Pelodiscus sinensis: one gene and its partners. The protein of the gene in region 3 interacts with the protein of the main gene of each other region in a pairwise test. Links are inferred from orthologs where the notes say so. Each region holds a gene or a part of one and is shown on either strand. Other genes may lie near its edges.

The links.
Region 1: the proteins of RTN4 (region 3) and SYT16 interact in binary tests that used the Homo sapiens proteins (3 or more experiments, as listed by UniProt). The link is inferred for Pelodiscus sinensis from reciprocal best matches to the Homo sapiens genes RTN4 and SYT16.
Region 2: the proteins of RTN4 (region 3) and RTN3 interact in binary tests that used the Homo sapiens proteins (3 or more experiments, as listed by UniProt). The link is inferred for Pelodiscus sinensis from reciprocal best matches to the Homo sapiens genes RTN4 and RTN3.
Region 4: the proteins of RTN4 (region 3) and SPG21 interact in a two-hybrid assay, tested with the Homo sapiens proteins (2 studies listed by BioGRID and IntAct). The two-hybrid records come from large-scale screens. The link is inferred for Pelodiscus sinensis from reciprocal best matches to the Homo sapiens genes RTN4 and SPG21.

What each region holds. Positions count from the first base shown.
Region 1 is NC_134714.1:14,093,630-14,101,478, forward strand, and holds the start of SYT16 (synaptotagmin-16), read left to right. Parts: upstream 1-4,835; 5' UTR 4,836-5,181; intron 5,182-7,849. UniProt on the Homo sapiens protein: May be involved in the trafficking and exocytosis of secretory vesicles in non-neuronal tissues. Is Ca(2+)-independent.
Region 2 is NC_134721.1:33,994,042-34,001,634, reverse strand, and holds the start of RTN3 (reticulon-3), read left to right. Parts: upstream 1-4,579; 5' UTR 4,580-4,581; coding exon 4,582-4,711; intron 4,712-7,593. UniProt on the Homo sapiens protein: May be involved in membrane trafficking in the early secretory pathway. Inhibits BACE1 activity and amyloid precursor protein processing. May induce caspase-8 cascade and apoptosis.
Region 3 is NC_134713.1:175,891,349-175,898,252, reverse strand, and holds the start of RTN4 (reticulon-4), read left to right. Parts: upstream 1-3,883; 5' UTR 3,884-4,021; coding exon 4,022-4,487; intron 4,488-6,904. UniProt on the Homo sapiens protein: Required to induce the formation and stabilization of endoplasmic reticulum (ER) tubules. They regulate membrane morphogenesis in the ER by promoting tubular ER production.
Region 4 is NC_134724.1:6,636,342-6,643,575, forward strand, and holds the start of SPG21 (maspardin), read left to right. Parts: upstream 1-4,226; 5' UTR 4,227-4,385; intron 4,386-7,234. UniProt on the Homo sapiens protein: May play a role as a negative regulatory factor in CD4-dependent T-cell activation.

The DNA of each region.
Region 1 (7,849 bases), on a different chromosome or scaffold from region 3:
AGATATTTTTATGGGAAGGATGGTACAGATTGAACCTGTCTAGTCTGGCAACATCCGTAATCCAGCATGACTTTAGCTGGATGTCCAGGTATGGGTATGGCCAAGTTTTCTGTGGTTCTATAAACTTCTTTACAGCCACCAGTCCTGGCTTTCCATGTTCTGTGCTCTTATTTAGCTCTAATTTACCCCTAAATGTCTTCTAAGAGTCCAGTAAGCAGTGGAAGTGTTGGTAATAGTGCTAAGTATAAGCATGGTTTTTATGCTTTATCTACTTATTTCCTTGTGCCAATACAGTAAAATTATGTCACCACAACACTAACACTGTTTTGAAGAGAGCTGATAAGCCTTGGTTAGACATACACTTATATAGGATGTATCAATACAGTCGTATTACTAATTAGTATCGCAAGCATTGTTCTGTTTATTCACCTTGGTGAAATAAAAATAGAGAGACCCACTCATTAAAATATTGGCCTCCTTTATTTTGGCAAGTTCTCTGATTCAGCACCCAACAGGTCTTGAAGGTGCTGGACTAGAGAAACTCAAGCGGTAGAGAGTAAATTTGCAAAACGCAAGACATTTGGATTTGATGACTTAAATCTTTCTCCAAGGTTGTGACAGCCCTGGAGTATTAGGGAGATGAATGTTCTGTAAGATATGTATTATTAGTAGGCATGTGCTAATGTAATTGGTTAACCGATGAACCTGGGCTCATCGATTTACCTTCATGGTTACTGCAGCCCTACCCCATGCTACTGTGTCTGTATCAGAGGCAACAGTGTGGGGGGGCAGGCAGGAGCCGCTGCTTGTGGAGCTGCCCTCCCTCCCCTGCGTGTAAACATGTAACCATTGAAAATTCCTAATTTGTTCCCTACTCCCTCCAGTCTCCTGCAAAATCTGGCTCTTATCTCCTCTGTGATTCCTAGGCCGCACCAGACAAGGGTCACTGAAAGCATAGGAGAGGCAGCCTCCTTGCTCTCAGTTTAGGTGCCGGGACCCATCATGGCCTGCAGTAATTTCAAGGGAAGTTCTGCTCAGCCCTGGGCAGGAGCATGCCCAGTGTGGACAAGTCTCCACTGATCATGGATGAACTTTAATATCCCCTGCCCCAAGTCTTAGAACTTGGCCAAATCTGTCAGCTCCTGCTGACTGCTGACTGAAAGGCAAAATGGCAACCCCTCTGCCTCATCCCAAGTCTCTGCTCCAAACCACAGTCATGGTGTTACAGGGATAGGAAAATGGGATTGTAGACTTTTTCAAAGAAAAGATCTCGAGAATTTTTTTAACAGGAACAAAACATGTATTTTTTACTAGCCATGTTCTCAGAAACAGCTGGTTTTGTCTGCAATTATAAAAAAGAAAGAGCGAGAAAGAAATTCAGCCTGAGGCATCATGGAAAATTTCAGCTTTAATGGCTAAAGTTTGACAAGTTACAAGCAACTGAAAACAGCATTTTGTAAAGGGAAGTGCTTGGTAAGCAAAATCATCAACGGGACCAGTAACACCACCTAAAAGAATATTCCATTTTTAATGGCACATTATGGTCAGATGGAGTCACCAAGCACTCTACAGACTGGGTATATTCTTATACAAGGCTGATGTGAGCCGTTACTAAAAGGGGTACTATTTGGATGTTTTACAGGTGACCCAGGACTAGAGAAAAACAATTCCACAAGGCCTGCTCCCTTTCTTTCTTCTGCTGATACTCAGAGGCCCAGTTGTATGTTTGGATGCCATATATCAGCAGCCTGAAAATCCATCTGGCTGGCAGGCTGAGAAGATGGTAACTGTCTGAGCAGCAGCCCAGGGGCTGACAAAAGGATTGCAAGCAATGTCTATATAATGTTCTTAAAAAAAAATTAAGTTCTGAAAATCCCTGTTAAGTCTCTGGTGCCCTGCGGGAGGGATGGAGGTATCAGAATGCTATCCAGGAGAGGTGACGCAGATGGGTGTGCAATACATAGCATTTCGGCCAGATGGACGTTCAGGGCCTTTTTGTTTTTGCATGCATTCAGCCAAATGCTAATAGACCCCAGTGTGGGTTTCCCAAGGTAGGCAGGTTGGGCCCTGCTCCCATGAGTAGTAAAGTCAGGAGGGCTATAGAGAAGTATGATCTAGACTCTCATAATTAGAGCACTACTCCAGGACTTGAGAGACGTAGGTGCAGTTCTCTGCTTAGTCAGACTTTTTGTGTGATCTTGGGAAAGTTTATTCGTGCTTCCATTCCCCATCTATAACATGGGGATAACAGCACTGCCCTACTTCACAGAAGTATTGAAGATAAATATTGACGTTTGAGGGCTACATCTACATTGGCAGCTTCTTGCACAAAAACTCTTCCACAAGGGTATGTCTACACTACCCCGCTAGTTCGAACTAGCGGGGTAGTGTAGACATACCCCAAGAGAGCATCTACACTGGCATGTGCTTTTGCACAAGAGCATCCATGCCAGTGTAGATGCTCTCTTGTGCAAGATAGTTCTGATGGCCATTTTAACCATAGGGCTTTGTTGTGCAAGAAATTCATGTTTGCCTGTCTACACTGGCCTCTTCTGGAAGAGCTCTTGCGCAAAAAGGCTTCTTTCTGAGTGGGAGCGTCAGAGTTCTGGCGCAAGAAGCCCTGATTTCATACATTAGAACATCAGTTTACTTGCGCAAGAATATGCGGCCAGTGTAGACAGGCAGCAAGTTTTTGTGCAAGAGCGGCAGCTTTTGCTTGAGATCACACCAGTGTAGACACAGCCGAGGTGCTTAGGTACTGTGGTGATTAGAGGCAATATAAGTACCTAAAACTGCAGACAAATAGGTTGCTTCTTGCAAACCTCTTATGCTGGCTTCAGTGAAGTCAATGTCCTGTTGGCTTTTCTTTTTCAATCTAGTCTTTGCTACGATAACTATTTCCAGTGTTGTGCCTTTAATATTGCAGCTCTTTTCACTGCTCTCTTTGAGATGCGCCTGATATTAAAATCTCTGAGGGGTAGCCATGTTAGTCTGTATCTGCAAGAACTGCAAGGAGTCCTGTGGCACTTTAGAGACTAACAGATATGTTTATTAGGGCATAAGCTTTCATGGGTAAAAACCCACTTCATCAGATGAATTGGAGTGGAGTTATACCAGGCATAGGTATATCTATAAGGACAACAAAAGAAAGAGGGTACTTGTGTAACTAAGCTAATCAAGTTAGAGTTGAAGTGGCTCATTCACAGCAGATGATGTGGAAATGTGGATATCGAGAGGGGAAATTGCCTTTGTAATGCGTTAATCAGTTGAGATCCTTGTTCAGTCCTAAACTGATGATACTGAATTTTCAAATGAATTCCAGGTCAGCTGTCTCCCTTTGTAATCCGGTTTTGAAATTCTTTAGTGGAAGGATGGCTACTTTGAAATCCATTACTGAATGTTCAGGGAGGTTAAAGTGTTCCCCTACAGGTTTACCATTCCTGATGTCTGATTTGTGTCCATTTATCCTTTGACATAGACACTCTCTGGTTTGGCCAGTATACATGGTGGAGTTTCATTTACACAAGCACCCTCTTTCTTGTGTTGTCCATATATATATATATATATATATATATATATATATATACCCATGCCTAGTGTAACTCCACTCCAATTCATCTGTTGACGTGGATTTTACCCATGAAAGCTTATGCCCTAATAAATACATATGTTAGTCTCTAAGGTGCCACAAAACTCCTTGTTGTTTTTGAAGATATTAAAGGGTTTTTTTTTAAATCCTGCTCTAACTAGGGTTTTGCCCATGAAAGCTCATGATACTACATATATATTCTTATTAGTTTCTAAGGTGCTACAGGACTACTAGTTTTTTTACTGATGGAATTGCCACTACTGGGAATTGCTCTGTTTCTGATGCAAAGGGGCCCCCTGCAGGCAGTGAGGGTGAGTTTGGATTCACCCTAAAGAACGCAGGGAAGGAAGCCCTTCAGTGCAAACCAGTAAACTTAGGGCCATATTATGTCTTAATGATTCCTACATGCAGGAGATGTTAATGGCAGCTGCATATGGGCGCTGAATACATAATACGGCACTGAAATCAGCATTACAACATCATAAGTGGCCTTTAAAAGGACACTAAAGATTTTTTAAAAATAGAAGTGCCTTTTGTATCTTTTGTTGTCAATGAAGCACCGTTTTAATAGAAATGCTCTCCAGTGTTAATTTGCCTCTGTTTGCGCACCGGAGTGGCATGTAACTGGCTAATATATCACTCAGTATACACTTGTGAATGAACAATGCTGTTCTGCCCATACAGGTGCAGGCTTCCGCTTTTAGTCTCAGAACAGTTGACCTCATAATGCATATTAATCCCACCTACAAAAGTATAACATGGCAACTTGTCAGCTCTCCTAGTTTTGGAATCCTAGTAAATGAAATGGGGATCAGCTTGAGGCTGTATCGATCTGTTAAATGAAGTAATGACTGACTGTGTGAGGTCTGACCAAAAATGTATTTCTGTTTCTTGCTACCAGTGCAGTACTTCCTGGAGGTGAAACATTACCAGTATCAGCTGTGATGGTTAGTTTACTTTTCATTGTGAGCCTATTGGCAGTAGAAAAGATGCATTTCTTTAGCTGATCCAAAATATTTATGGCCAGAATTTGAGTTTAAGCAGGACAGGAAGAATTATGTTCTTGCGCTGGAAAGTTGAATTAATTGGGGGGGGGGGGGGGGGGGGGAATTTGCCAGCAAGAAAATTGGCCAGTTCAAGGAAGTGCTAATACCCAGACAGGTGACTACATGTTCAGGAAATATTATCGTTGGGGAAGAAGTAGATAAGCAGTCACAGTTGGGAGTGATTCAGTCTGCTTTCTCTGCCACTTCTTTGGCTAACATTCCTTTGGTGATTGTCACATGTTTATGAACTAGCAGTCTTCCTTGTTCTCTGGGACAGTTAATCATCTAGTACGGAGAGGGTGCGAGAAAGCACCACTCCTATTTGTGAAATGTGGGTCTGTATGGCTGTCGTCTGTTCAGCTGGTGTGAACTCAACAGATCCAAAAGGAAATCAGTATTTAGGAGCCTGTTCTGGATTGAAAACCAAGGAACCACTCTTGACCTAGTAGTCATATTAGTCACAACATATGCAACATCAGTGAAGAAAGCACACTTGGGAAATTTCACTTGTTGTTTGACTTGTCCTGCTGCTTTAAGGGAAAATAGGTAAGTCCAGTCTTTTGAATGTTCCATAGATACCTCCTGGTGAAGCAAACTTTTTCATTCTGGAACCTCATTAGCGACATAGCTTTAAAATAAATCTTGTGTTTCAAATACCGGTGTTACTTTGTATTTAGAACCACAAACAGATGTATGTTTCTAAGTGCCAGAAGAAGCCTCAGATAACCAAATATAAAGCATCAATTCCCTTTTTTCTTATATTTATTATTTTGTATTGTTATTACAGAAGCACTTCCATCTTTATTATGGAACAATAAAGCAGTAATGCTGGGTGTATGTATAAGATAAACACAGGTGTTAACCTCCTCCTCAGAGAGAAAATGTATCCTCAGATCATTGTGTAGGGAGAAACACGAATACATGTAGTTATTTGTGAATGACTTAAGAACACAGCACTGCCTTTTTAATAGGGCCCAAATGTAGAATAATAGTTGGATGAAGCCAGAATGGGTGTAAAATAAAAAAAAAACACTCCATAGTATATATTTCTTTCTGTTAAATGTCCCAGGATTATTGTAAGTTACTTTTGAAAGTTTTTATAATTATATTCTGGGTGGAAGATAGCATATATTGGAAATACAAAAGCCTGTAAAATGTGTAGATGTGATATTAATTAACTTCTCATTGAATGTAGTTCATTTAGAGGTCCTTATTTTTTCCCCACCTCTCTCTGTTTCTTAAGGTATATTGTATGCAGATGCTGACCACGAGAATGGTCCTACATACATAGCATGTGTTGTTTGCAAAACTGTTGGGTGTTGCTTTTGAAATCTCCTGATATACAAGAATTTTTCCAGCCAGAATCACAATTCCTTTCATGTATAAGGGACCTTGTGTTTATAGGAAGGTATATACATGAAGTCCCTTATAAATTAAAGGGATTATGATTCTGGCTGGAAAGTTCATACATGTCACGAGATTTATGTGTATATAATACAATATTTTCAGAACGGGCATAGCTGGCTCTGAAGTAACTTGCACAGTCATTTTTCCTAGCCTGTCCCTTGAACCCTGTCACCTCTTTCTTTATGTCCCTGCATTGGTACCCCCTTCTCTATTACATAAAACACAATTTTAAGGCCTTTCACAGCCTATCCCCACCAACCTTTCATCTGTCATTCAGTATTGAGATGTTGATACTCTCCTCTGATCAGTGCCCAGTGCTAGCCTTCACTGTCCTCTTGCCAAATTGTCAAACAGAACACCTTTATGCTTTTTCCCATGCCTCTCCTCACAACTGGGGGGTGCTTCTTGTAAATAGCAACCAAACTATCTCATTATCCTCTGTTAAATCCCTTCTTAAAACTATAACCAACTTAACAATGTTAGTGTCTATGATGCCGACCAATATTGTCTCATTGTTTTCCTTGTGTTTCTTCATCCTTCTAGAGCCATCTGTTTTCTCTTTGATACTTAGATTGCCAGCTCTTTAGGGACAGGGAATGTCTCTTTTGTTCTGTGTTTTGTTCAGCACCTAGCACAGTGGAGTTTTGAGCCAGGACTGGAGCTCCCAGGTGCTATGATAATAAATAATGAATCAGCAGTTGTGTGCTCTGAGCCTCCTCATGCTCCCACTAAACTCTGTGGCAAACCTTCCCTTTTGACTTCAGTGGCTTTGAGATTCTCCCCTCTAGTAGCAAATACACGGAGTCAGACTCATCTGTGGTTGAACTCCATTGATTATGCAGGGATTGCTCAATCTTGCACTGCAGGAGACAAGGCAAAGGGATGTCAAGGGAAGGTGGGAGGAACATGTAGAGAATCAGTTGTTCTCCCAACCATTAAAACCAGCTTCTTTTCCTATTTTTCCATGCTTTCAACATTTCCCTTCCTTTGATTGGTTTGGAACTCCCTCAGCTAGCTAAATGCTGATGTAGCCTCTACCTTTCCCAGGGCAATTTTTTTCCCACCAAGTCATCCTGTAACAAGCCAGCAGGTTCATTATGTGCATGTGTCCGTGAAAGGTCACATGCCAGTTGTTGTTTAGAAGGAGGTTGCACTAGTAAAACACTCCATTGTGTTAAATAGAGCCTCAGGCATTTTGTCTTAGTATTTGCTTTAATGGCTTTTGTACTCTCCCATTACCGGTTATTTTTAGAACATACTTGGCAGGCTCAGGGGACGCGGTGACACCACAGGTCCAGAACTCTCCCACAGCATGTTGTTTCCTGGAAACCACACCCTGTGTAACAAGCCGTCTCCTTTTCAGTGTCCATTGAAAAACCAAGTTTTTTGCATAATGGATCCTCGACTGTGTTCCTCAGTGGCCAAGGCCTAAGGCCAAGTAGCTGGTCTGGGTTATAGAGAGCTAGGAGGTGTGGTGTGACATGGAAGGCAGCGTGCCAATGATCCCATGCAAAGTGATGTCCCACTGAGACTGGAGAATGTACAACCAAGAGGGCAGAGCAAGCTCTAAACCCTCCCATTATGTGGCAGAGTGTACAGCTCCTCTACCTTCCTCCATGCTAAAATGTGTGCTGAAGGTATCCGCACCCAGCCATGGTAAAAGTCCTCCATAGCCTATTACTAGTGAATGTTTAATGGGAATCCACCAAGAAGGAGAATGGATAGAGTTCAGCACGTCTGTGATGCATACCTCTATGCACACTGCTAGGAGTTTACAACTCAGTTGGTGCTGCAAAGCACACACAGT
Region 2 (7,593 bases), on a different chromosome or scaffold from region 3:
GCCTCATTCCCTCTCCGTATAAGAAATCCCCTTTCTGTCTATGGGACTGCACCTCCCTCGGGACCCCATGCCTCCCTCTGTGCGTGGGGAATGCCTATTCCCCCCCCATAGGGAACTCCAGCTCCACAGACCCCAGGGCCCGCCCGCCTTCTCCACCGGGGACTCCCCCACCACAGGAGATCCTAATACCCCCTTCTCCACCGATGGGCCCAGGCTGCCCGGGAGGGGGGAGGGGACCCCATTACCGGCCGCCTCCAGCTTGACACCGTTCGCTGCTGCCGCCACCGTGCAGGGATCAACATGGAGCCGCCTCCTCCTCGACCCCCCCCGCCCGCGCCGCGGGGCCAGGATGGGATGGGCGGGGCTATCGCCAGGAGGGAGGGAGAAGGCAGAGAGCCGACCGTCCCCGAGAGGCATGCCGGGAAATGTAGTCCCTTTGCCATCCCATCTGGTACGAACCCATTTCAACGAACTATGGCGTCAGAGGACTACAAATTCCAGCAACCATCCGGGCGGGCGCCCTCGCTACACGGGGAGCCTCTCTTTGGGTAGCTCTATTGTCCAGGACTATGTCTCTCGGCAGCCTCCTTGGGAGAGTAACCGCGGACCTGGCTGCTCTGGGCCCCACGCCACCCAAAGCATTCTCAGAGCAGAGCCTGGGATAATGCCCAGGCTTGCGAGAGTAAGAGATAGTGGTTGGCTCCTGGGAGTCCAAGGCAGGAGCCCTGACTGATTACAGAGCACTGGCAGAGCTTTGCATATAGGGCTCTGTATGAATGGTGCATCTTCCACAAAGACAGATGAGCCCTGCCTGGCCCTTCCCTGCAACCTGTGCATTGCCTTTGCTCACAATGCTTCTAGCTGGGCTTTGCGCCTTTCTTCTAGCCAGTGCATTATCTTTGCCTGTACATGTGGCTTCTTCCCATAGCTCCATTCACTGCAGCTCTCTTGCAGCTATTCTAAACAGTTCCTTCAAATGCTGTAGTTAAACTTGCTTCCTGGCTTCTGAGGAAGAGTCCCAAGGTATGAGACTGAGTCCTGGAACTGACAGCAAAAAGGAAGGAACTTTGTGGGCTGGCTGTAGAAGAGGAGTCATGCACAGCAGGTGGGCAGGCCTTTACACATGTATTGTTGTTGTTATTAATGTATTCCAGTAGTACCTACAGGCCCCAACACAAGGTAGACTTGAACCTGGGATGTCTAAAGCTTAATATAGGAGCCTCTACCCTGTGAGCTAAAAGCCAGCTGACTTTTAGCCCATGCTGTAGAGCAGGCATGTCAAACTGGCATTTAGGGGGCTGCATGCAGCCTGATCGAAATTTTTTGCAGCCCCCCCACTACATTTTTATAAAAGAATGAAGTGCAGCCCACTGGCCGCTCAGAGCATGTGGCCAAGTGCCTGCTCACAGTTGGCCGGGACACTACGCTACAGCAACTTCTCACGGCGGGCTGGGCTGCACCACGCATGCACGTATGGCCGGCTGGCAACTCTGCACTGGGCTCTCCAGCATATTCAACATTTAAAAGTACTTAAATTTATATTTAAATTAAAAAATATGTAAAATTAATTTTAAAATTAATGAGCAAATAATTTTATACATCAAATTATTGCAATATTATAAAATAACTAAAACAATCTAGAATAATAAATAATTATGACTGTCAAAAGCCCTATGGTTGCCAGGTGTCCAGTATTTGTGCCTTCTGCCTGGCACCTAAAATGGGTTTGTTTGTTTTTCCTCAACCAATTTTTTTCTTTTTTGGTCAAACAATGTGGCCCTGAAAGCTATCAGTTTTCATTTACATCGAGTTTGACATGCCTGCTGTAGAGGCCTCGGCTACGTCTACACTGGCCCCTTTTTCGAAAGGGGCATGCTAATTTTAAACTTCGGAATAGGGAAATCCGCGGGGGATTTAAATATCCCCCGCGGGATTTAAATAAAGATGTCCGCCGCTTTTTTCCGGCTTGGGGAAAAGCCGGAAAAAAGCGTCTAGACTGGCCCGATCCTCCGGAATAAAGCCCTATTCCGGAGGAGCTCTTATTCCTACTTCGAAGTAGGAATAAGAGCTCCTCCGGAATAGGGCTTTATTCCGGAGGATCGGGCCAGTCTAGACGCTTTTTTCCGGCTTTTCCCCAAGCCGGAAAAAAGCGGCGGACATCTTTATTTAAATCCCGCGGGGGATATTTAAATCCCCAGCGGATTTCCCTATTCCGAAGTTTAAAATTAGCATGTCCCTTTCGAAAAAGGGGCCAGTGTAGACGTAGCCCTCTTGTTCTTATCTGTTGCTGTGGTCTAGGTGCCACTGCATGGAACAGTATACCACACTAGGGCTACGTCTACACTGGCCCCTTTTCCGGAAGGGGCATGTTAATTTCAACTATCGTAGTAGGAGGGAAATCCGCGGGGGATTTAAATATCCCCCGCGGCATTTAAATAAAAATGTCCGCCGCTTTTTTCCGGCTTTTAGAAAAGCCGGAAAAGAGCGTCTACACTGGCCCCGATCCTCCGGAAAAAGCGCCCTTTTCCGGAGGCTCTTATTCCTACTTTTCCGGAGGCTCTTATTCCTACTTTGAAGTAGGAATAAGAGCCTCCGGAAAAGGGCGCTTTTTCCGGAGGATCGGGGCCAATGTAGACGCTCTTTTCCGGCTTTTCTAAAAGCCGGAAAAAAGCGGCGGACATTTTTATTTAAATGCCGCGGGGGATATTTAAATCCCCCGCGGATTTCCCTCCTACTACGATAGTTGAAATTAACATGCCCCTTCCGGAAAAGGGGCCAGTGTAGATGAGCCCTAGGTCTGTGGGTTACACAACTTTTATTAATAACTCATTTTTTACAAAATGCCTAAAAGTTTCATCAGTTTCCAAGCAATTTTACTTGTGGCATCTGTGCTGCTAGCAGGGCTTACTCAGTGTTCAGTCAGTACTCACTTTAGTGTCCCTATGCAACACGATGGGGGTGGGGGAGGGCACTGTGCTGCAAAGTGAGTAACTCAGTAGGGGGCACTCTTCACTCACACGCCAGACTGGCCCCATGCTGCACGAGAGGGGGTTCAATAAGCAATGCTGTTTCTTAAACACAGTGTAGAAAGAAGCTGGTTGAAGAGCCCCCACATTTTATTACACTTTGCTTGGAAAAGAACCCAGGAGTCCTGATTCCCAGTTGTTCCCAACCTGACTAGAAGCCACTCCCTGTTCTGATCCTACCTCTTAGATAATGCTGCAGTATTCCTGTATGTGGAAACAAAGATTCCCTCCAATAGGCACTCAGGAAGAGAAACAGCTCTGATGGGAATACGTTTGAAAGCAAATATACATTAGCAACTGTTTAGTTTCTGCTGATACATCAGAAACGCCATATATTCAAATATCTGAACTACAGTCTCTTCCATTTTGCCCTAAAAGGCACGGACAATCTTGTCCTGTGAGGCATGCAATGATCCAATTGCTTAACCAGAGAACGGAAAGGTAAAATCACTCTGATAAGGAAACAAAAGATGTTATCTTAACTACACCAATAGACAGCAAAGCATAGATAGCTCCAACCAGAGCCACAGCAAATCCCTGGAATGAGTGCAGCTCTGGTGCAGCCATGCAGGGCTGTTGGCACATGTTGGATGCCAGCTTTTGGAGTCATGACTGCATCAAAAGCTCAGTTTCCATTTATAAAACAAAGGAAGTTTCCAGCTTCTGTGGTTGTGGAGAAAAGTTTGAAAGGATAATTCAGCTGTAACTAATGCTGCCTGCATCTGCAGAGAGCCTGAGGCAATAGCTCAAAGCACAGGGAGCTGCTACCATGACCTCGTACATGACCAAGGCAGCCATACCTGCCTGACAGTCACTCAGGGGAGCAACCCTGTACTCCTCAGTGGGGAGTTAAGTCCCAGCCCCATAGGTCTCGGGAAGGGCTGGTTTGAAAGGAAATGGATTTAAATGTCTTTTTGATTTGCGAGAAAAGAGAAAAAACAGCAAAAAGAGAGAATGGGAAAATAAAGAAAAGGAAAGTGACAAAAGGCAAACGGATGAAATAAGAAAGGGGAGGAGAGAAAATACGAGAAAGGCTGAAGGGGAATAAATGAAAGACAAATTCTCCTTTCCCATTAAACTCGAACCAAAGAATCAATTCAGCAGCCGCCCGGTCTCGACTCAGCAGGGCGTCACCCGCCCTAGTCTGGTTTTCTGGAGCCTAAAGCACATATGTTAATCGGATCTATTGCGCATGCGTAAAAGGGGAGCCCACTCCGCCCTTGCCCACATTTGGCGCATGCGTAATAAGCAACCTCAAACCCTAAAACTCAGAAGGCGTAGTGAATACCTGGCGTCCGTTGACGCCTGCGCGTTGCGAGCGCCTCTCTGTTCCAGTGGCTCACGCCTGGTGCTCAACCGTCCAGCCTCTAGCTACAAGCGCTTGCGCGGGGTACGCCTTCTTCTCGGCCCTCCCCCATGGCGCATGCGCAGTTGCTATCCTGCAATCCGTCCTAGCTAGGACAGCCGAGCTCGGTTGCGCGGTGTCAGTCTACTCGGTATCTTCCCGCCGTGAGGGACGGACGTTTAGTGCTAGGCTCCCGTTGCTGTCGCGAAGATGGCCGACCCCGCCACCCAGTCGCCGTATATCTCCTCCTCCGCCGGAGGGGGCTCCTCAGAGCCGGGTACCGCCCCGATGCCCGCGGGCGGCCGCGACTGTAAGGGAACCAGCTCCCAGTCCTGTGCCGGTAAGAGCCGGGGGGAGGGGCAGGGAACAGCCGGGCAGCGGGCTGGGGGCGACGAGTGGGAGGAACAGCCTGTGGAGTATCTGGGAACAGCTGGGGTGGGGGGAGGGGGAACAGCCGTGTGAGTGGTGGGCACAGCCCATGGTGCTTGCGAGGCACAGCCTGGTGACAGCTGGGGGGCGGGGAACGTGGGCACGGGAGTGTGGGGGGGGAGCCTGAGGGTGGGAGAAGGGAACAGCCGGCGGGGGCGGCGAAAGAGGGAAGTAACTGGGGGTGGAGGCTGGGCTAAAGGAGTGGGGGGGGGAGCTGGGAGCAGTTTGGGTTTGGCGCGTGAGTGGGGGCTGAGATTTTGAGTAAGGGGGACTTGGGCTGAAGGTTGGATCGAGGTTGGGGCATGGGAAGCTTTGCTACAGGCTTGCTATCACTGGGGGATAGTTAGGGGCTTTGAAGTGCAAGGGTGGCAGGAATTTGGCTCATGGGGAGAGAACTGTGGTGGGGTATAGACTCGGGCTAGGTAGGGTGGATTTTGTAAAGTAAAAGGTGTGATTTTTAGAGCAGGGTGAGTTTTGGTGGCTGGAAGAAGATTGAGGTGGGGGTCTCAGATTGGGGTGGTGAGGATTGCAGAATGTACTATGTTGCACTTTCTAGTTTCATTTTGACAGTGATGGTTCAAACTAAAAGGGGACTGGGTCAGGGAACAATGTCTGAATTGAAGGGAGGTGATAGAGCAGATTCCCTTTGCCTTAGTGGTGTTCACTCCCAGATCTTGCTGAGCCTCCCAGTCTGGGCTGACTTTTACCGTCTCTGTTTCTTAAGGCCCAAAACTGTAGGAATTATCAAAAATCAGGGGGTGTGCTGAGGAGAGCACAATACCCACTGGATCACCCCTCTGCAAGGGCTGGATGGGTGATGATGCAAGATGTACAGTGTATATATATACACACACCCTCCATTGTTCCAATACTAAACATGGCAGTGAGGAAATACCTTAATTCCTAGAAAAATCCCTTTCACCATCACAAACATTTCTCAGGGCAGGTGGAAGAGCGGTGGGGGACTGCTGGAAGCTTGCAGTGATCTGTGTTTTTGAGGGGGTGGTAGCAATTGCAAATGCTCCCTTTTGTTATGTTGCTGCTCAGTAATTGGAGTGGGGGTGGAGGGAGAGCATATTAAACAAAGCAGTATGTGGCTAAATCCCCCCTTCATTTAAGGGGAGCTGTCCAAAATAAGAGGCTGTGCTTTACTTCTCTTTATATCCCTGTCAGGCTCGGTGTTGGCAAGCTAGCTTCTCTTGCAAAGATCTGCACTGCAGATGCCTTCTTGGAGGGGGGGAAAAACTGGGCAGGTGACAGCTCTTAAAGGGGCAGCGCTTTTTATAACAGCCATAACAATGATAAACACAATTTCATCTTTTTCAACAAGCATCCAGAGCAAAAATGATTTGTTAGCTTTAAAAATTCATGGGTCTTCTGTTTTAACTTGTTTACCAAATTGCCTGTCTCCTGCGTGGGAATGTACCAGGCTGGCATGTTTTTCTCACTAAATAGAATTCATTTGGTTGAGAAGCTGATTTTCCGGGGTGGCTGTAGAAACTGCTCATCCCAGCACATGAGCTGTACAGCAGCTTCCATCTTTCGTCTTAAAGCCCAACACCCTTTTGAAGTGCCATACAAGCCTAATTTCAGAGATGAAATGGCTTTCCTACTTCTTAGCAGGACAGGTCTGTGTGGTTACATGCAAGCGAAGGAAGATGAGGCAGCATGCTTTCACACTTCAGCCTTACAGCATGCGAGTATAATGTATGCCTTTCTGGAACCTTGTGTCATGATGCTTTTCCACCCCCTCCTTGCAGATGTTTTAGTTTGTGCCAGAACTGGGGTGCAAAGGGAGGTTATTACTCAGCAATTTAGTGCTTTGCCTTCATCATTATTGGTTAATCCATCACCCTGTCTGCTCTGAAATGCAGCCCTTTCACCCAGTATTTGAGGACTGTTTATTCTCTGATTCACCACAATTGTTTGTGAATTACCTCAGCTATCCTAGAAATCAAACCTTTGTCCTCAAATTCTCCAGATAAGCTAGTGTTCTATAAATGTTGAGCCATCTTGACAGCTATTGGCACCGTGGTTTAACAGACAGTTTGTAATCAGAAGGCAAAAAGGGTTCAGAGTCATGTTTCTTCTAGAATCAGGTGTGGACTCTGTTCCCCAAGAAGATTAATTTATGCCCAGTGTCTGCCTGAAGCTCAGATTAAACATATGCAAGATGATATACCAAAATGATGTAATATGACTCACATGTAACAGTCATGTTTTCCGCTATTGGGGAAGTGGTGTCGTTTAGTGATTAGAACCTTGGTGTCCAACCAGTTCTGAAGCCATTATAGTGGCTACTGCTGTAGCGAACTAGCCACACTCAACCAGTCAAATAGCCACACGTGGCTAGTGGATAGCGTGTTGGACACTACAAGGTTAGAACATGGAATGAAGGTGGATGGGTGTCAAATCTTCAGTTCAGTTTACCCATCTGTATTCAGGAGAATTAAGCTAATTCAGTGCTTATTAATGTGTTAATAGTAAAAACATGGGTAGCCTGCAAAACACATTTTATCTGACTTTTTTTCTATGTCCCAAAACTAAATGTTTATTACAGCAGTTTGTATATCTTATCACAACTGTAGTATCTGAACTTGGTTTTGTTCTAGATACTGTTTGCACTGCATTTTTTTTATAAATTCCACTGCAAACAACATTTAAAAAAATCTTTGATGTCTTGATTTTTAAATAGCAACACTTCTGGAGATTAAAGCCATCTGTTTGCCCAGTGAACTGCTTATGCATAATGACTTGTGCCTCAGTTTGAGATGCTGCATAGTCATTCAAACT
Region 3 (6,904 bases):
CTAGTTCGAACTTACTAGTTCGAATTAAGAGCTGTGTAGACCCTTAATTCGAACTAGTGGGAGGCTAGCCCTCCCCAAGTTTCCCTGGTGGCCACTCTGGCCAACACCAGGGAAACTTGTCTGCCCCCCTCCCGGCCCCGGACCTCTTAAAGGGGCACGGGCTGGCTATGGTGACCGTGCCAGGTGCAAGCCTGCCAGCTCCCAGCCAGCAGACCTGCACCTGGCACGGATCGAGCCACCCACCCGATGCCCCGCAACCCTCCCCCTCTTCCCGGGACCAGGCTGGCGGCTCCCGGGAGCTTGCCCGGGACCGCAAGAGGCGGTCGCCCGCCTGGGCTAGTGTGGACATCGTGAACCTCGTCCACGATCTCTGCACTAGGCACAGGAAAGTGGCCAGCTAGGGCAGGAGAGCTGCCAGCCTGGCCACCCAGGAGCAGGTGTGCAAGAGAATCAAGGGGATCCACTGAGACCCCCGACCCTGAGCTCTGAGCATACAATGGCCGTCCTGGGTCAGACCAAAGGTCCATCTAGCCCAGTAGCCTGTCTGCCGACAGCGGCCAACCCTAGGGACCCTGGAGGGGATGGACCGAAGACAGTGACCAAGCCATTTGTCTCGTGCCATCCATCTCCAGCCTTCCACAAATCTTGGGCAGGGACACCAATCCTACCCCCTGGCTAACAGCACTCCATGGACCCAACCTCAATGACTTGATCTCACGTCCCTTTAAACTCTGTTCTAGTTGTAGCCTTCACAGCCTCCTGCAGCAAGGAGTTCCACAGGTTAACTCTTTGCTTTGTCAAGAACAACTTTCTGTTACTAGTTTGAAGCCTGCTACCCATTCCTTTCCTTTGGTGTCCTCTAGTCCTTCTTTATGGGAACTAATGAACTTTTCTTTATGCACCCTCTCCACCCCACTCATGCTTTTAGAGACCTCTATCCTGTCCCCCCTCCGTTTCCTCTTTTCTACACTGAAAAGTCCCAGTCTCTTTAGCCTCTCTTCATATGGGACCTGTTCCCAACCCCTGATCATTTTAGTTGCCCTCCCCTCTCCCACCTCCTTTTCCCAGTCTCCCCCAGTTTTGTTCAATAAAGACAGATTCCATTTTTGAACACAATTGTCCTTTATTTTGTACATCAAGAAGAGGGGCTAGGGAAGGGTAAGTGGAAAGAGGTGAGGGAGGAATGGGGTACGCGCCCCCGATGGGGAGGACTGGGCTGGCTCTGCGGGCTTCTGGGGGTGGAAGCTCTCCTGCAGCCCCCCAATTGTCCCCTCTCCGCAGATGGCAGCCTGTGGCAAGTGCAGCCGGTCTGATGGCCGAGTGCTGTGATGTGCCCAGTGTGGGTACTCCGGGCAATCCAAGCCAGGACTGCTTTGCAAGCGGGGCACCCTGAGAACTGGCTGTTCGGGGTGGGGGTCGGGACCCTTTAAGTACAGCCCTCGGCTAGCCTGAGACAGCATCTCCACGCTCTAAGTCCTCCTCTGATGCCCTGCTGGCACTGCTTCCGGCCATCCTTAAGCCTGGTTCAGGGTCCACTTAATGTGGACGCGCTAGTTCAAATTAGCAAAACGCTAATTCGAACTAGTTTTTAGTTCTAGATGCGTTAGTTCGAATTAGCTTAGTTCGAATTAACTAATTCGAACTAAGTTAGTTCGAATTAACGTTGTAGTGTAGACGTACCCTGAGTTAGTCTGTTACAGAAAAAAACAACAAATGGTCTGGTAGCACTTTATAGACTAACAAAACATATATATGGTATCATGAGCTTGCGTGGGCACAGCCCACTTCTTCAGATGACCGAAGTTATGTGTAGGGGAAATGAAAACCCGAAATAAATAGGAGAAGGATGTGGGGGAGAGAAAGATGCTTTGAAAAGCAATTTGGGATGATTTGCTTATAAAAGACAGTACCACAAAAACTTCAGAGGGTAGCTGAGTTAGTCTGTAACTGGAAAAACTTTTTTGCAGCACCTTAAAGACTAACAAAATACGTAGATGATACTATGAGCTTTCGTGGGCACAACCCATCTCTTCAGATGAATGGAGTTATTGAAGGTCCAGTTTTGAAATAAATAGGGGATGGGGAGGAAGGGGGGGGGGAAGAGAGGGAAAAAAAGGGAAAGAAATAGTCAATTAAGAGCCTCCATGAAGCTGATAGAGAAGTTGCAAATTGTTCTTAAGTACCCATTGTTTGGGTTTTTATGTCAATAGGATGTGGAATGTAGGGGCCATCCAGCCAATGTCTTCATTCATACCTTTGTGATTGGAATCAAACCTGTAAATGAAGTTAGGTTCCGAGGCTTCCCTGTGTATTTGGCTTGTGGAATTGGCCTGAAACGTACAGTGACTTTGAGATCCATTAATAAGTGCCGGAGCAAGTACCCTGAAACTTACTTTGTATGAATCTTTGAAGTAACTTAAAACAAGTCTTCTCTGCATGGACATGTAATAGTAAAAGCATTTTTTGTGCATAGTGCATGATTAACTCCGGTATTTTGCCCAACATTTCATTCCCCTTTTGCACTCCTTCCACAAATTCTGCTATTGAATGATATGCTGACTGGTCACCACCTTCCACTCCAGTAGGGGTTGTATTTCAGTGGTGGTGTCTGTATAAATGTGAGATACTTGTGGATAAGGTAAGTTCTATATAAACAGAACATTTATATAAAAAAGCCTTAAAATGCTGATATGGTATCTCATAGATGTTCTTCAATGTAGACTTCCTTATTTTATGATTCTCAGACAACTGACTAAAATGGCTGTTTTCCTTCTTCACCAAATGACTGATCCAGCAAGCTGATAACCCCTAGCTAAGATGTATTGAGCACCCTCAAGTCACCTTTAAGACAAAAGAAGTTGAGGATTTATTTTGCAATAAGTGCTCAATACCACAGAATCAGGTCCCAAATTACTACAAGGATCCCCCCCCCCCCTTTTCATTTAATGCATCTAAGGTTGGTCTGGCCCTGACTACTAGAAATTGGCCTAAAAAAATGTTGAATCATTAAACTGAGCCCAGAACAATTGATAAAGAAATTACCCTGGCATTATTCCAAATTCCTTTTCAGAGTTTAAGTTTTTAGCTGTGTCACTCACATGGAGGTGACTCATCCCACCATTTATAAAGCCTAGTGTAGGCTGGAAAGCTACTGTATATAGCCACGGTGCAGCCCGAGATGTGATTCGCTCCTAGCAGCAAGACACCGCAGCAGCCTGTCAGTGTCTGACAAAGAGGATTCTTCCAGCCTCTCCGTGTCACTTGTTTAATCCCCCCGCCTCTCGCAGCAAAAGTTTTTTTTTTTTTTTTTTTTTTTTTGCCACAAAATGTCTGGCACGCAGCAGACTGCTGTCTGAAGCGCTGGCTAGGAGCTGTTGCAAATCCTCCTCGGGGCGACACCCTGAAGTGAATCCATCCTCCCACTCCCTTTTATCTCCGTATACAACCTCCCTTCCAGCTATGCACACACAGAACCCCACCCGTCACTCTGGCTCCTCTCCCCCGCAGACACAAAGAGCTCCCAGTCTCCCCCTCAGCTAGAGACCCCCCCCTTTTCCCTTCACACAGACACCAACCTTCAGACGCACATGGCCCCCCGCACCCCCCCCATCAAATACCCAGCTCCCCTCTCACACGCGGCCGCCTCAGGGTGCCCCCCCCCCGGAACTCTTCAGGGTCCACCCCACCCACATTCTCCGCACCGAACTTCTCCATCCCAGCTCAGCCCCCAGCATCCATCCCGTTGAATATTCATAGAGCAGAGGCGGCAGCAGCCTCTCTCATTGGTTCCCCGTGTGGGTCCCGGCTTCTTCTCCCGTCCCATTGGCAGGCCGGGCTATCCCTCTCTTGTCTGGGTTAGCCCTGCCTCCCCGTCTACCCCTCCCCTTCCCCGTCTGACTCAACAGGGCGTGGAGGCTCGGCTGGGCACCGCGGCAGCTGCGCAGCCCCCCGCCCGTGCGAGCAGTCCGAGGAGCCGGCGGAGAGAGCCCCGCTCACGCATTGTTCCAGCCGCCTCAGCACCATGGACGAGCCGGACCAGTCCCCACTGGTCTCCTCCTCCGGCCCGGCCCGGCCCCAGCAGCCCCTCTTCCAGTACCAGTTCGTGCGGGAGCCCGAGGAGGAGGAGGAAGCGGAGTTTGAGGAGGAAGAGGAGGAGGAGGACGACGACGAGGACTTCGACGAGCAGCTGGAGGTGATGGAGAGGAAGGTGCCGGCCACGGCTGCGGTCCCCGCCCCGCTGCAGGACCTCGGCGGCTCCGGGGAGCCCCCCCGCCCTACAGCCCCTGAGCAGCCTCTGCCCCAACCGGACAGGAGCCCTTCCGCCGTCTCCTCCTCCTCCTCCAGCCCATCCCTCCCGCAGGAGCCCGAGCCCCCCGCCCGGCCTCCAGCCCCTCTGCCTCCCAAACCGGAGCCCCCTGCCCGCAGCCCCTTGCCGGAATCCCCCGCCGCCGCTCCCCGGAGAAGGGGCTCGTCCTCCGGCTGTGCTGGTAAGTGCCGTCCCCCGCTCCGGCTCCTGCTCCGGGGGAGGGAAGTAGCCGCGCTAGGGGGCGTGGCTGGCTTTGTGGCGGAGCTGCCCTGGGGCTGTGACGGGGGGACGGTGCCAGGGGCACCCCGGCTGGCTCCCCAGTGTTCCTCCCTAGGCAACGCCGGGCCCAGTCTGCGCTGCCGTGCGGAGCAGGGAGTTTCCCCTTTGTCCGCAGCCTCTGCTGGCCCCCTGTGGCGTCTCGGGCCCTTTTGGCTGGGCGGGGACATGCCCGGGCTCGCTGTCCCTGGGGCGCGGCGCGCGTACGAGCGGGGTGCTGCCTGCAGCGCTCGGGGAGGGGAGACATGTGCGTCTCTCCGCGTCCCGCCGCCCGCTCGTCCGCCTCTAGCGCAGCTTCGCCTTCCGTCCGCTGCTGCCCGCCCCCCGCCGCCTTCTCCGCTCCCCTGCTGGCTCGGCTCCCTTCCGCCTGCGCCCCGGCACTAGAGCTGCTCATTCGAGGCAGGTTCTTTGTCTTAAAAACACAGTTACATGGGGTCGGTGCAAATGCTCCTTGCGCCGCCTGCTGCTGCCTCCCCCCGGGCACTGCGCGCTGCGGGGGCACTTTTTTTTTGTTGGCAAGTCTCCTCTTGTCGCTGTCTGGAGACAAGGGTGGTGGCGAAGCTGGCAGGCTGCTCGTCCCACCCGTCCATTGTCCCTCAGCGCCCCACCTCCTCGACCCCGTCGCGCACGCTGGGTGGAGACTAGCGGAGTGGAGCGCCTCCTTCCCCTTGTGCCAAGCCAAGGAAAAGCTTCCTGCCGCCGCCCGGTTTCCGCCGACGCAGGAGTGATGTGGCTGCTGTAGTAGCAGCAGAGGGCTTGTATTGGTGCTGGGCATTGTTTGCACTTGAAACCCCCTCCCTCGTATCCCAAGCTACGGAGGGAGAGCAGGGAATTATTTTCAAAAGAATGGTTAAAGCTAAGAGCTAACTAGAGCTCATTAGGTACTGGAGGAGTGGTGCTTTTAAAATGGGTGACATAATTGAAAAACTCGGTGCTGGTGAATTCTTAAGTATTCAGTTCAAAGGCTATCTGAGACCTAAATGTTTCCCTGTTTGTTTTTCCTGTCTGCATCATGTATTCTTTTGTTTTGAATTTTGTAACTAAATTATCTATTGCTGTAAACATAGTGGTATTTTCCACTAGTACAGTGATGTGCACATTGAGAGTCCTATGCAATGTGAACATACTGCAGCATTGTTATGATCACTCTGTATTCTGCTCTAAGAATATGCATATTTATATACAATTTTTAAAGTACTATTTGATACTGGGTAGGGAAGAGAATGAGGGATAGTGAAAAACCACTTTCCTTATGTTTTAAGTCAATCTCTGGGAGATATAGTCAGGTGTCAGGCAAAATGTATAGATAACTTACTCACATGCCCTTACAAAAAGTGCAATAAAATATTGTGTGTCAATAGCTTTATTGTAAAATCTGTGGGAGGGGGGTCTTAGAAACTAGTAACATGAAAATAAAATCTGATCTCCAAAGAGAACCAATACAAAAGTATATACTGAGTACTAATTACATATATAAGTATGCATGTTATTGCAGGTATGGAAATAGATCACAACTACCCATCCTTTACTTTGGACATGGCACCTTTTAGAGACCATAAATGTCCTTGGTCTTTGTTCTGTTTCATGGCATCTCCAATAGGATTGCTCCTTACATTATATTGGGTACTGATTTAGTGCTGACACAAACAAAAGTACTGCTTTTAAACTGCCACCTGCATTCTTGCAGTAATACTGAGTCTTTCTTTGAAAGTGTCTAATCCCAAGTACTGCCTAAGCTAAGAGGTGCTCCTTGCATTGCCATCGTATTTTAATAACAGTCCTTCTTAGTTTGAAACTTGACAAGATCATAACCAAATAAATGTGACTTCTTAAAACAGTAAAAGTATATCAACATGCTTATATAGTTATGCTACCCTTTACTCATAATGACCCATGTGCAATACATAAGTAAAGCAAAGATATAAAAATGCAGTAAATCTAGATACAATGGTGAAATGGACTTTCTTAAACAAGTGTTTCTTCTGACCTTTTGTTATGCATCTTTTAGAAGAGCTTTGTTAAAAGGATGCCACCTTAAAATTGCACTTTTGTCTGAAACTAGCCACCTACGATTGTTACATATGGCACGTAAGATTGCAAATTTCCTTTAGTTATAGCAATGCAAACTTTTTCTATTGTTTATTTAATTTGTATATTTGACAGCATTGTGTTTACACAGATTTGCTGGCTTGTTCCCATGTAATTAGTTTTTGTGTTTGTGTTAGTTTTTGTGTTCCTCATTCACAAGCAAGGAGGGGTGAGAGATACTTTTTTAAAGAAATGTCATCCTCAAGTTATTGTACAATCATAAAAACTTTCCCA
Region 4 (7,234 bases), on a different chromosome or scaffold from region 3:
GGGACAGTGTCCTTCCATGCTCCTTCTCATTGTTATCACAGAACATTCCCACGGCAAGTACAGTCATGCTTCACAGGGGAAAGTGATGGTGTTATTATTAGAAGCATTTTGAGCTGTCCTTCAATTCCCTTTACTAGCTGTCATCATGTAATCAACTAGGGTATGTCTACACTACCACCCTAGTTCAAACTAGGGTGGTTAATGTAGTCAATCGAAGTTGCAAATGAAGCCTGGGATTTAAATAATTCGAACTACCTACTCTGTGCCGCGTGTAGCCGCGGGCACGGAGTCCGAACTACCGGGGATTTAAAAATGGTGGCGCCTGGCAAGATGCAAATGAAGCCCGGGATATTTAAATCCCGGGCTTCATTTGCAACTTCGATTGACTACATTCGAACTAGGGTGGTAGTGTAGACATACCCCTAGTTATCCACCGGACACCCTCCCGCCTTCCTTGTAGTCCATGGACCACAGTTGAATGACACGTGGTTTAATCATTTGATTGCAGTTTGATAGGTAGGGTAAAGTACAGTCCTGCCACAAATATTGGTAGCTATAAATTAGAAGGCTTTTATCAGGAACCAGGAAAAAAGGGGCTAATATTAGTTGTGCAAGCCCATACGCAGCAGAGAGTTTGTGTATGTGTATGTGCGTGTGCAAAGGGTGCAGTCCACATTTACAAAAAAAGCACACACCCCCAGAAATTCCTGTGTATGGGCCTGTATTCATCTCTCCTCAGATGGAAACTGCTCCGTACCCCTAATAATTTTGTTGCCCTTTTCTGTACCTTTTCTAATTCCAGTATCTTTTTTTGAGATGGGGTGGGTGACCACATCTGCACACAGTCTTCAAAATGTGGGTGTACCATGGATTTATACAAAGGCAACAAGCTATTTCCTGCTTTATTAACTATGCCTTTGCCAATGGTTCCCAACATTTCTTCTAGCTTGTTTTGGCTGCCTCTCCAACATTTTTTGGAAATAACTAGCGATAAATCGAAATAACACAGTCCACGTCTACACAGCCGGCAGTTATTTTGACATAATGTCAAAATACTGTCAAGCTGGAGGATTTCTTACTCCGACTCCTGTAACCCTCATTGTACGAGGACTAAGGGAAGTTGGAGGACGAGTGCTCTATTTCGAAGTAAGTGCTTCGAACTGAAGCCATCTGGGGGAATAGCGAGTCTGCCATATCTCCCGCTGCCCCACACTCACTGGCAACGATGGGGCACATGGGGCAAGGCAGCCTCCCAGCTGCGCCACTCTGGAGACAGGAGAGGATTGCCCTGCGTTCTCCAGCGCGAGTGGAGTCACGTGGCCAGGAGAGCAAAACAGTGGGGCTGCCTTGTTCATCTTCCCCTGCTGCTGTGGGTGAGTGCACCTCTCCTATAGATGCCAGGCCCCCTCCACTGCTAGTTTCCCCTCCATCGGCTAGCTGGGCCCCCCCACCTCACATTTGGGTGCATGTGGCCCCTTGTGCCTCCCCATGTGTTGCGCCATCTGCCATTTTGATGGCCAGTCACTAGGATTACCAGGTGGCTTCAAAAAAAATACCGGACACATTTGATCTCAAATGGGGGTAGGGGACTGGCCGGGAGGGCAGTGGGGCTGGCTGGGAGGAGGTGGGGAGGGGAAACCATCCGGCGGGAAGCAGGGCTGGTGGAGAGGAGGCGGGGAGGGGGACATACCGGCTGGTAGGAAGCAGGGCTGGTGGGGGAGGGGAGGGGGAGAGTGGAGGGAGAGAATAAGCCAGTGGGGAGCAGGACTGACCCAGGCGCATGCAGATCCTGGAGCGCTGCCCGTCCCGCGCACGGTCCCGGAGAAGCACGAGCAAGTCCGGCCCAGGGGATTCCCTCCCACCCCCTGGCATAGTTTAATACTGCCTGGCTGGTAGACACACTCACGCAGCCAGGCAGTTTGCAACTACGTACTGATACTCCTAATAATAATAAAACTTACCTAATTAGAAAATACCGGACATTTTATATGTCCGGTATTTTCTCAATTTGTTTCCCAGACAGAACCCACAAATACCAGACTGTCCGGTTCAAAACTGGACACCTGGCAACTCTAACAGTCACCCACCAAGTTTTGTGAGATCTCTTTGTAACTTTTCACTGTCTGCATGGGACTTAACTATCCTAAGTAGTTGAATCATCTGCCAATGTTGCCACCTCACAATTTGTCCCTGGTTACCTGATAGTGTTGCCAGTTTGCATAACCGTGTTTGTGAATCTTATGCGTGAAAAATAAAACTGTGCTCCGAAGGAATGACCCAAACAGACTTTGATCCTGGCACTAGTGCTTCCTGGGCTGGGCAAGACAGGCCTGCAGCTTACAGTTATTCAGCTCATTCTACTAAATGGGAAAGGCGGCTTGGGATCTAACTTAACAGACACCATTTGAGACAAAATTTCAGACTGGCTCCTTAGGACTCAGAAAGCTCCAGATGTTCCTTAGCAGAAGCTCCTCAGGGAAGCTGGTTCAGAAGCTATTCCAATGAGCAGAGGCTCATGGAAGAGGAAGAGGCCTAGACAAAATGTTCTTGCAGGCAAGGAATGTAGGAGAACAAACCGGGAATGGGAACTCCTGACTGTGGAGCTACTAGGAATTGGCACAGCACTGTCAGCAGAAGATGGGCTTTTGGCTGAATGCCCAGTAGAAGCCCAAGCTCTAGGCAGGGATTTCAGCCTCAGTGTGCTCTGGGGCTAGAGGAGCAAGATATACAGATGTTTAATGGCATGTACTCAAAGTCCCGTTAAAATTAAATGGAATTACTCACCTGTGATGTCAGCATGTTAAATGCATGATCAGGGTATAAATTGTAGCACACTGTATTGAACAATAATTATATACTTCCTTTTCTGTAGATGGCAGCAGCCATCCACAGTTATTTCTTGTTGACAAGCATAAAAGGTGGGGGTCCTGCAGGAACCAGAATAAAAATTGGTTTGGAAAGCTTTTACTGGTAATTTGCTTTTCTAATTCACAAATTAAGGTTCAAATGTTGCCCTTTGATGCATGCCAGAATTCAATGAGAAATTGAAGAAGATTAAGAAGAAAAAAAGGGCACAAACCAAGTTCTCCTCCAACTTACAGGTCACCTTTAATTGGTTCCTTCTAAAATTTGGACTCTCTTAATAAATATTTCTTCTTTTTACAGCATTGGGTTAGGGAAGAATTCTTATTTTTCTAGTTATTAAAATACATTTAATCAGCCTTCAGTTGCCTTTCTCACACATAGCAATACTTCCAAACACAGCCATCTGTTGGTTTTAAACCACAACAGCTGCAAATACACTTGCTTGATGTTCAACAAAGGATTTCTCCCCCGTTGCCCCCCCCAAAGAGAATGCAAATTCACTGTCCTCTTTCAGAGAACGTATGCATCTTATGTTCGAAGGAAACATTTTGCCATGCCAGTGATGCATAATTTGAATTATGCAGCTGTTGTAATCAGCCATCTTATAATATGACAGAGACTTTTCAGAATTTTCCTCTCTCCATTTCCTCATATGAATAAAAAATATCTACAAGCTTATCTGTGTCCATTGGCTTTCGCTAGAGTTAATAAAAAATCACTGTAAAGGGGCACTGGAATGGGCTGAGTTTTGAGGCCTAGTGCCAACTCTCATATTTTATCTGGAGTTTTGCAATGATTGTCATGGTGATTTAAAGTCCCAGCTTTTGGAGTCATGTTTATTATGTAAGCATCTCAACTTCCATTAAACATATGTCCAGCCCTTGCAGAGGCACAGAAAAGTTTTAAAACTTGTCCTAAGTGCACTCTAAATGCACCCCCCAGATGTTTCCTTTTTTACAACATCTGGCAATTCTTTCCCCCCCCCTCCTCTCATAATGTGGGGGAGGGCCTGGTGTGTGATGTCTGAACCCTGGGGGTTAGCAGCACCATTCAGGGTAGCCCTGGAGGACGCTGCCTGGCAGGGGGTGAAAGGGAAATGGGGGTGGGGGGAGGGGAGCGAACAGAGGCGGGCTGGGGACTGAGGCAGAGGTGAGAAAGGCCCACGTGGAAGGAAAGGGGAGTCACGTGTCTGGAACCACAGCTGGAACCGCACGCCCCCAACGCCAAGTGCTACCCGCGGTACAAGTCATATGACCCGCACCCCCTGGCAGCGGCCACGCCCCACCAGGCCACGTGACGCCATTGTTCCGCCTCGGTAGCTATGGACGCCGTCAGCTGCGACCGCTCATTCCTGGTCACGTGGTTGACGTTCCGTCCCTCCCCCCCCCCCCCCCCCCCGACGCAGACAGCACCCGGAAGCGGGAGCTTTCTTGGGTCCGCTCCTCACTCGTGGGGGGAGGGGGATGCGGGAACGAGCCTCGGACACTTTCTCCCCCTGCAGCGCCGCGCGGGAGGAGCCGGTAAGGGGGAGGGGAGCGAATGGGAGGGGTCTGCCCCCCCCCGTGCTGGGGAGGGGAGTTAATGGGGGGGCTGGGGAGGAGGGGTCTGCCCCCCCCGTGCTGGGGAGGGGAGTTAATGGGGGGGCTGGGGAGGAGGGGTCTGCCCCCCCCGTGCTGGGGAGGGGAGTTAATGGGGGGGCTGGGGAGGAGGGGTCTGCCCCCCCCGTGCTGGGGAGGGGAGTTAATGGGGGGGCTGGGGAGGAGGGGTCTGCCCCCCCCCGTGCTGGGGAGGGGAGTTAATGGGGGGGCTGGGGAGGAGGGGTCTGCCCCCCCCGTGCTGGGGAGGGGAGTTAATGGGGGGGCTGAGGAGGAGGGGTCTGCCCCCCCCGTGCTGGGGAGGGAGTTAATGGGGGGGCTGAGGAGGAGGGGTCTGCCCCCCCCCGTGCTGGGGAGGGAGTTAATGGGGGGGCTGAGGAGGAGGGGTCTGCCCCCCCCCCCGTGCTGGGGAGGGGAGTTAATGGGGGGGCTGAGGAGGAGGGGTCTGCCCCCCCCCGTGCTGGGGAGGGGAATTAATGGGGGGGCTGAGGAGGAGGGGTCTGCCCCCCCCCGTGCTGGGGAGGGGAGTTAATGGGGGGTAGAGGAGGAGGTGTCTGCCCCCCTTCGTGCTGGGGGGAGTGAATGGGGGGCAGAGGAAGAGGAGTGCTCTTAGTCCCCCATGCTGGGGTAGAGGCATAAATTAGGGAGCAGAAATGCAGAGAGTGCTGGGGGCGGTGATCTCCTGTCCCAAAAGCTGCTGTTTTAATTCCCTGTAATGGCACTTTCAGTAAGTTGAAGCACCTGTAGCTGTTGTGATTACATTGCATTTACCAACATGCACAGTTCATTTTAGACCCACAATTTTACTGATTCAGATTTTGTGTCCCTGGGCACAGGAATAGAATGGTCGATGCAGCAAGACACATCAGCAGAGCAAACATTTTGATGGGTGGGTTAAATAGCAGTGCTTATGGGGCTGTTGCTTATAGATCAAATGCAGTTTGGGTGTACAGACATTCAAGCAGTTGTTCACAGAATCTATGCAGCTTTCTTGCTCCTGTGATAGACTTAAAAACAGTCCAGGCTGTCAGTGACCAAAAGCTTTTACCAGAGCAGTGTTGTGAATGAAGTTTTTTGTGACTCATACACCTTTAATCTCTCTTTCTGCTCATCAGATGTACATCAACAGGCAACCCACGCATAGGAACTGTAGTTTAAAAAATGTACACTGGCTTAATCATTAGCCAGCCTGAGAGTATTTGACATTTGCTACATTTTTTTTTTGGTTACTTGATTTCCTAGTTATGTTTCATGGTATGGATGTGAAAGATTGACTGGTAAGCATCACCCTTAACTGGTTAACTGATGGGGGTTGGAGCAGCTGCCTTTCCACCCAGCTGGGGAGTGCTGCAGCCCTGTGGGGCCCACCACAGGCAGGGGCAGCTGTGGGTGGCCAGAGCCCCACTGTCTGCAGCAGGCCCGACCCCATCACATGCAGGGGCACTGCTCCAGCCTAGCCCCCTATCTACCTCCCTTTAATCAGTTAAACATCATATTTAATTAGTTAGCCAATTAAGTGAGATTTTACATCCCTATTTCAAGGTATTGTTTCTGTTCCATGCCTCGGAAGAACTATTTATTGGTGTGAACTTAGTATTTTGTTTCTGTGCATACTTGCATATGATGCTTTGAATGTTCACAAAGTGAATTTAGTACCATTGAAATTCATTTGCACAAACACTCTTGAGAGAGGAACACAAAAGGGGTATTGGCATGGTCAGAACAAAATAACATAAGTGGAAATGTTTTGTGGTGGTTGGCTCTACTTACCATTTGATGGACGACTTGCTTACATGACATGATTGTGACGCTCACAGTCCATTTGCTAATAGATTGCTGTCCACTGCATAAAACTTTCCACAAATGGCACTGATTGAGATCTTTATCACCAGTCTTACTGGTGATCTAGAGGTTTGAATGGGCATGGAGATTGAGATGCTTTATTAGCTCTGGGAGGGGGTCCCAACAGTCTGGTCATTGTTGAGGTATATTGACAGAACAGTGAGAGTCACAGAGGGGGAAAGTTTGAACACATCTGTACTCAGGGTGAAAGAATCCTGTGTCTGAAGTTGCAGCTGGCACCCATCACCAGCCCCGGGGTCCCCTCTAATGGTACTAAAACAATAGGCAGAAAAAGAGGAAAGAACTGATTATAGCTGGAATTTATTTCTAGTCTTTTTACAGTGAACAAAATTATTCTTCAGCACATTCCTTTTAGCAAACTTACTAAATGCGTCTGGTGAGCTTTTCCGAACGTGTGTTCATGTAAGTGGTACCCTGATCCTGACTTGGGCTTCTGATTGCTACTCTAACATAAATAGAGTATAAACTTAAAAAACAACGAATTTAACACAACCCACTTCTGCCCACGGAAGCTCATGATACCATCTACATGTTTCTTTAGACTTTGAAGTCCTACCAGACTATTCGTTGTTTATTCTATGCAGACTAACTCGGCTACTCCCTGAAGCTTATAAATATAGTAAAAAGAATAAAGTTATTTTGCTTCTTGTTACTATTTTTGCTGTACTTCATTGAACCATCACGTCCCACATCAGTTTTATATGTGAACAGGGTAAGCCATACTTCTGGCAAGTGCCGGGGATTAGTAGAATGAACTACTCTCTTCTTTTTCTCATGCACAGCTGTCCTCCCATTCCAGTAATGTCTAAGCCTGTTTCATTTTGTAGTCAGCTGAGTGAAAGAGGTGTTTGGCCTCCATTATACCTTTTATACCACAAAAGTGTTCTTCTAGAGTAGAACAAGTGTTAAAA